Linked DNA regions of Canis lupus familiaris. Each later gene encodes a partner of the first gene's protein in a complex. Links are inferred from orthologs where the notes say so. Each region holds a gene or a part of one and is shown on either strand. Other genes may lie near its edges.

Region 1 (4,045 bases):
TTCGATCCCGGGTCTCCAGGATCGCGCCCTGGGCCAAAGGCAGGCGCCAAACCGCTGCGCCACCCAGGGATCCCAAAAAAAAGAATTTTAGAAGCTAGTAGAAATGTATTTTAACAACACAGTTCTTACCATAACCCATCTATGAAGGGCCAAAAAAGAAAAAAAAAAAAAAAAAAAAGACTAGGGAGAGAGTGAGCCAGGTAAACATTACTGACAATGGGAGAAGTTTATGTGATTACTTTAAAGAACATCCACTTTTCTGCACATTCGTATATAATATTTATGAAGAATACTGACCATATTGGTGGAAAAAGGGAAAAATACTTATTTCTAAGAACATGCTAAAGAGGTTACATCCTGGGGTGCCTGCATGGCTCAGTCGGTTAAGTGTCTGCCTTTGATTTCAGGTCACGATCCTAGGGTCCTTGGATGGAGCCTCTCCCCCCCCGCTTCTTGGGGCTCCAGGCTCAGTGAGGAGTTGCTTCTCCCTGCCCCTCCTTCCTGCTCAGGGGTGATCTCTCAAATAGATAAATCCTTAAAAAACAGTTACATCCTAACCACAGAGAAATTGCAATTTTAAACAAAAAATTCCTAGTTTTCCCTCCCAACATAAAACAACCTGGATACATAGGGATTGAAAACCAAACAAAATAACCCCCCACCCCAAATCTCCCAACTGTTTGGTTAAATGATTAAATGAATATGGGAAGCTCAATGAAAAGAGAATGAACTTCAGATTGCCATACTTGAACACTGATACAGACACAATTTGAATTCAACATTTGCTATATGGCACAAAGCAATCACTAGAGGGATTAGATAAACAAGAGAATCAAGGTTGTAAAAAACATCCACAAAAATCACAGTGGTCTCAGGAAGATTATCTTTAGGATGAGATGACTGACAAAGTTTATATGTTCAGAGCAAAGAGTAAGTAAAACTACAAGTCGCAAACCAAAAAATTAAATGAGTACTTCCCTAAATCCGTTCTTAGATACCTCATAGCAACTCCTTTGAACTTCCCATAAGTAATGTCAACATACCAAGAGTATTATTACGTTCGCTTTACAGAGTTGAAAGCTGAGGTTCTGTAAAATTGAACAGCTGTTAGGAAAAAGCGTCCTAATGCACACCTGATCATAATGCTCCACCTCTTCCAATACACCCCAGAGAGGGAGCTGATAATCAAACCCAACTGAGTAGGGAGGAGCCCAGCTGGAAGGACTCGCCTCGGATAGGCAGATGGACACCTTCTCCTATAAACCTGAAGAGGGTTTGGGGAGAAGGTAAGGACATTATTCTCAGAGAGGCAAGATTGTAGGTTGGAAGGTTGTAAATTAAGAGTGGTGGTTAAGGTTATTTTCTGGAAATGAAAGACTAACCAAAGTGCTCGCCCTCTAGTCTCTATCTTTTATAACCTCTACCTGCAATAGCTTTCTGCACAGGGGTCTTGAATGATGCCATAGAAGCAGTCAAGATTACAGGGCTGGGGATTAGTCACATGCAGTCCTGAATAGGAATTCCTCCCTTGCTACCCCAGGCAAAGCCATTTAATTAATCTGTGACTCAGTTTCCTCACTTGACAAAGATCATAAGGACCGTATAGCATTTCAATAACCATAACCTATAACACAGAATTAGCACGATGAACACAGCAATACCCCTGAACTTCCCCAAGTCCAGACATCAGCCAGACTTTTTTTTTTAATTTTTTAAAAAATTTATTTATGATAGTCACACAGAGAGAGGGAGAGGCACACAGGCAGAGGGAGAAGCAGGCTCCATGCACCGGGAGCCCGACGTGGGATTCGATCCCGGGTCTCCAGGATCACGCCCTGGGTCAAAGGCAGGCGCCAAACCACTGCGCCACCCAGGGATCCCTCAGCCAGACTTTTTAAAAAGATTTTGTTTATTCATGAGAGACACACACACAGAGAGGCAGAGACACAGACAGAGTGAGAAGCAGGCTACCCGCAGGGAGCCTGATGTGGGACTTGATCCCTGAACCTAGGATCACGCCTTGAGCTGAAGGCAGTTGCTCAATTGCTGAGCCACCCAGGTGTCCCCCCAGACATCAGCCAGTCTTGAACTTGAAACCATAGCATTCTTGACTCTGTTCTTTATTTTAGACCTAGAGACTGGAAAGGATTGAGGAACGTACCATAAGCAAATGTGAAAAACACTTTATTCAAATGGGTGCAATGGGACACATCATTCTTTCAAAAAGGGTCTTTGGTCCTTGGGCTCTGGCTAGTCAAAATGGTGAGTGTGGGGGAACAGAGCAAAGCTCAAATAATAGATCCTAATCAGTCACAGGGAAAGGAGAGAGGAAGGCACTAGAAACAAGATGGGATAAAATACTCACCAACTCACCGAGTTGCCTCCCAAACCAGAGCCTGCTCCCTGGCTCACGGGCAACCACAAGCTAGTGATGGTCTTTTGGGAATCCTGGGCCAGTGACGTTGTTGCTTCCCATTGGCTGCCCTGGGCTTGGAATGGCCAGGCCCAGCGTACAATGTGGAACAGCTGCTTTCTGTGCCTATCTTTATGCTACTGGTGAAGATGCTGCCTCCCCGTAGCACACCTGCGCCCAGCCTTCAGCAGGCTGTCCCACAATGATAATTGTGCGTGTGTCCTTATTTTACACAGTCTGCATTTACTGACCACAGTCTGATGCCACACTGCCATTTTTTGTTTAATCTACTTTCTCCATAGAACTTTTATCTGGATTCCCTGTGAACTCATAGTAAGCATTCCTGTCTGTTGTCAGAATAACGTTTTCTGAAACAATGTTCTTGCCTTCAAAAGTGTCCATCTTGGGTGACAGAAATATGAGCCACTTTGTGCCATGAGTCTCCACATTAATGGTGGTCTCCTAGAGTTTTTCCTCTCCCCCGCAGCTTTATTGAGATATGATTGACAACACTGTAAGTTTAAGCTAGAGAACATATTGAGACATTGATTCATTGCAAAGTGATTCCCAGCTATGCTAACAGATAGCTCCTACTTCAGCTGTTCCCAAACTTCACCCCAGGTTAGAATCCCAGGGGGAATTTTTAAAACCCGTTGCCTAAGCCACACACTATTCCAATTGAGTCTGGAGGTGTGAAGCCCCCATTCCCCAGCTAAGACACTGTACCGTACCACAAAGCCTGGGGACACTGTCATACCTTCAAGCCCGGCTCTTCCCAAGGTACATTCCCCTATTGCTTTAGCAAAGGAGTGTCTCCAGGGCCTTATGGGGTACGTGTCAGTGAGTGGATTCTCTGGCTTTCTATTGCCCATCTCTGAGCCTCATTCACTGTAGACTGTAGTGGTGGTAGCTCACCATTGGCTCCAGCTGTTTGACATTGATGGACCTTTATTTTTCTCTACTCCTGACATAGGGGTGGGTGAGGGGTTGAGGATCCCAACTGCTCTGACTTTTGTAATGAAACCCTTTTGGAGAGCAGATAAACCAACACAGGTGATACCTGATCATTATACAGCATAGAAAAAGATGATTTTTCAAAAGAAAAACGATTATATGACTGCTTCTAGATCTTTGAGTTCCAAATGCTGTTCTAACTACTTCAATCATGAATGGCATAGTTTAGACCTGAAAGAGTTTAGTCTGTGATGTACAATCCCTCCCCATGAGGTTGGAGGGGAGATCACTTGCATGTTCCTATAGCTTCTTGACATCCCGTGGACCAATCTCCATAGCAAGGCTCTAGTTCAGCCTCCTGTGTGTCCAAGAAACCTCTCCTTGAACTTATTCTATTGCATTAATGCACTAAACTCATTAAAAAAAAGCTAGGAGTCATATTTAATTTTTAAAGAGAGTTCTTTAAATATGAAATGAGGGGTACCTGGATGGCTCAGTTGGTTGAATGGCCAAATCTTGGTTTTGGCTAAGACCGTGATCTTGGGGTGATGAAACTGAGCCCCGTCAGGCTTTGCACTCAGCACAGAGCTTGCTTCAGATTCTTTCCCTCAAGTGCACTCTCTCTCCCTCAGGAAGTAAATAAAATCTTTTTAAAAAATGAGGTGCTTTTCCTTTTCC
Region 2 (3,183 bases), on another chromosome or scaffold:
CATAAAATCATATATGGGTTAAAAAAAAAAAAAAAAAAAAAAAATCATATATGGGTTACCAGATTCAAAATGGTAGAAGCACGGATGCCTGGGTGGCTCAGTGGTTGAGCGTCTGCCTTTGGCTCAGGCAGTGAGCCCGGGGTCCTGGGATCCAGTCCCACACTGGGCTCTGTGCAGGGGGCCTGCTTCTCCCTCTGCCTATATGTATCTCTGTGTGTCTCTCATGAATAAATAAATAAAATCTTTTTTATAAAAATGGTAGAAGAGAAGACAAAAATAAAACCACTACCTATCAGCCTTTTACCCACCCCTCACATCAAGACATGAAGGAACAGAATCAATCTTTTGCTTAATTTTAAGTGAGTAAAGATCTTTATGCCCTTGGACAAAAAGGAAATTCACTTCTTTACTAGAATGACACTACAAACAGACTTTTGCACCAAAATAATCAAAGCATTACCCATCAAGACACAGGAAAAAAAAAAAGAATGCAGAGACTTATGGATACTTGCTTCTCTTGAACTTTAGTAGAAGTAGGGCTGCTTCTCACAATGCTCCTGAAAATACTTATGCAACAGGATGCTCAGGAGTTTGGGGACCTGTCCCACCAGTCTTCAAGAACTCCTCAAGTTGTTTCATCTTCTCAGCTGGATAAGGAAAAATGCTTTCTGTTCCAAACTACTCCATCACTGAGGGGAGTAGGGGAGGAGGGAAGATGCTAGCAGCATCACTTCTCAGGTGGGGGCTCTGAACAATCTGGAAATAGTGGTGAAACCAAGCTGAGGGGGCATGGGCAGTGACGACAGGCCTGAATGTATTCAATTTCCGTTTACTTTCCCAAGGTCCTACTTGGACTCCTCTCTACAAAGGGATGCCCAGGGGTTGCATATAGAACACTGCAGTTAGGAAACTGCAAAAAGTTTTGTTAAGTAATAAAGGTTGGAAGAAAGCCTGGTACCGCCAGGTGGTTCACCGGGGGCTCCCTCCACATGCAGGCTTTTAGAGACCCTCACCTCTGGCACGATGTTTCCGGTGCCAAGATGCCAGGCTCAGGAGCACGCTCTTCACCCGATTTTGTACACGGGGCCATCCGAAGATACTGATTTCAACTAAGTCTCCAGAGTTAACTACGTCCACCGTCAGCAGGACTTGGCTCATCCACTCTATTTCTGGAATTATGGCTCGGTCTGGGCCTAAACAGGAAAAGAGAGACTCTGAAGGGAAACATGGTCGGGGGGCAGCCCGGGTGGCTCAGCGGTTTGGCGCCTGCCTTTGGCCCAGGGCGTGATCCTCGATCCGGGGATCGAGTCCCACGTCGGGCTCCCTGCATGGAGCCTGCTTCTCCCTCTGCCTCTGTGTGTGTGTGTGTGTGTGTGTGTGTGTGTGTGTGTCTCATGAATAAATAAATAAAATCCTTAAAAAAAAGAAACATGGTCGAAGGTGAGTAGGAGCTAGGTTTGAAGGGAATGTTGGCCGGGGAAGGAAGGTCGGCATCGTGGAGTCTAACGTGGCCTGCAAATCCGGCAGAGACCGTAGAGTTGCTCCGCGGGGTCTCTCACCGAAGATGGCGTCAGCCAGCCACGCCTCCAGGTAAAACACCAGTGGGTCTCTCAGCTCCTGCACTGGAAACCACCAAGGCCGGGTGCGAATCCGCGGTGGTGGAAGTGGTGCCCGGAGCAGCCTGTCCAGGGACCAGGCGGGCCTCCATTCGTCCCCCAAAACTTCAGCAGCACCCGCGTCGTCGACCATGCTAGGTCCGGCAGCCCGGGAAGAGAAGGGTCCAGACAGCGCCGCCGGAACACCAGGGAGGCACGAAAGCTGTGCCCCCTTTTACGGTTTCCGGCCAGCCCCGCCTCTTCCTGTGGCCCCGCGGGCGGTTCCGGGTGAACGGAACCCCGTTCGCTTCCGCGGCAGTGGCGGGCGGGGCGCCGGGGAGCCAGCCCCCACCCCCGCCCCGGGGCTTCCTCCTGGTTCTGGAACCTGCGTGCGTGTGAGCTTGCTTGAGCCGTCCCTCAGAGGCTACCTGGGGTCGTCTCCAGGTAGGTGAGTGAGACATCACCTGGCCTCAAAGAGCCCTGCCCAGCGCAGAGCTGATTGACAGCGCGGCTTGACTCGGAGGCCTCGTGACCCGGAATCACTTTTCGTGCCTACCTTACGGCTTCTGCTTCACCTTCCAGAGGTGGGTGGGCAGGTGGATCAGGCGGAGGGCAGGCTCGTCGGGTCTACATTTTCTCCCTTCTCCTCCCTGTTGTCTCCCAACAATGTGTTTGGTTACTACTTCAAAATCATTCAAGCAAACGTGTCGTGTTTTGAAATAGAAATGTCAGAGGTGGAACATGTAGGAACTATAGACCGATTCCGTTGTCTTCAACATCCTAAATCAGCTAGTGTTGATGTACATTTCTGCCCAGTATTTTTAATTTTATTTATTTTTTAAAATATTTTATTTGGGATCCCTGGGTGGCGCAGCGGTTTGGCGCCTGCCTTTGGCCCAGGGCGCGATCCTGGAGACCCGGGATCGAATCCCACATCGGGCTCCCGGTGCATGGAGCCTGCTTCTCTCTGCCTATGTCTCTGCCTCTCTCTCTCTCTCTCTCTCCGTGACTATCATAAATAAATAAAATAAAAAAAAATTAAAAAAAATATTTTATTTATTTGAGATAGAGAGCAAGTGAGAGAGAGAGAGACCATGAGCAGGGGGGAGGAGAAGAGAAAGGGAGAAGCCGACTCCCCACTGAGCAGGGAGCCTGCTGGGGGCTCCATCCCACGACCCTGGAACCGTGACCTGAGCTGAAGACAGACGCTTAACCAACTGAGCCACCCAGGGGCCCCTCAGTGTTCTTAATTTTAGTCAAAAATTTAAATTATGACAGATTTCACACATTCAAAAAGTTATATAACAAATACGTATGTAACAATCCCCACCACCATCCCCATTTGACAAGAAGCTAACATTTTCCCACCTTTGCCTCACCTCTCTCTTCTTTAAAATATACACCACATAAAGCATTTTTCCTTTCCCTCCCGACAAGAAAACATTGTCCAGAAGCTGTTGTGCATAATCCCATGCATGTTCTTAGACTTTTTATAGTGCATATCTAGAAATCTTTTTATGTTAAGATTTTATTTATTTATTTGAGAGAGAATGAGCTGGGTGGGAGGCAGAGGAAAAAGCAGACTCCC

What was found.
Region 2: the proteins of NLRP5 (region 1) and OOEP are in contact, whole or in part, in a cryo-EM structure (PDB 8H93), measured with the Mus musculus proteins. The link is inferred for Canis lupus familiaris from reciprocal best matches to the Homo sapiens genes NLRP5 and OOEP. Residues at the interface, in NP_035990.1 of Mus musculus: Glu173, Leu176, Leu195, His196, Gly202, Leu206, Asn322, Leu325, Glu326, Tyr337, Ile338, Leu339, Val340, Glu341, Gly342, Leu343, Ser344, Ala345, Ser346, His373, Asn625, Gln626, Asp652, Ser655, Glu661, Leu662, Cys663, Pro664; in NP_080756.1 of Mus musculus: Ser26, Leu27, Arg28, Leu29, Arg30, Thr31, Arg32, Ile38, Val41, Asn43, Tyr48, Met49, Leu75, Leu86, Glu88, Pro95, Thr99, Lys102.

Annotation. Positions count from the first base shown.
Region 1 is NC_049222.1:102,609,068-102,613,112, forward strand, and holds the start of NLRP5 (NACHT, LRR and PYD domains-containing protein 5), read right to left. Parts: upstream 2,816-4,045; coding exon 2,705-2,815; intron 1,625-2,704; coding exon 1,580-1,624; intron 1-1,579. UniProt on the Homo sapiens protein: Component of the subcortical maternal complex (SCMC), a multiprotein complex that plays a key role in early embryonic development.
Region 2 is NC_049233.1:35,686,963-35,690,145, forward strand, and holds OOEP (oocyte-expressed protein), read right to left. Parts: upstream 1,804-3,183; 5' UTR 1,750-1,803; coding exon 1,560-1,749; intron 1,194-1,559; coding exon 1,014-1,193; intron 648-1,013; coding exon 568-647; 3' UTR 509-567; downstream 1-508. UniProt on the Homo sapiens protein: Component of the subcortical maternal complex (SCMC), a multiprotein complex that plays a key role in early embryonic development.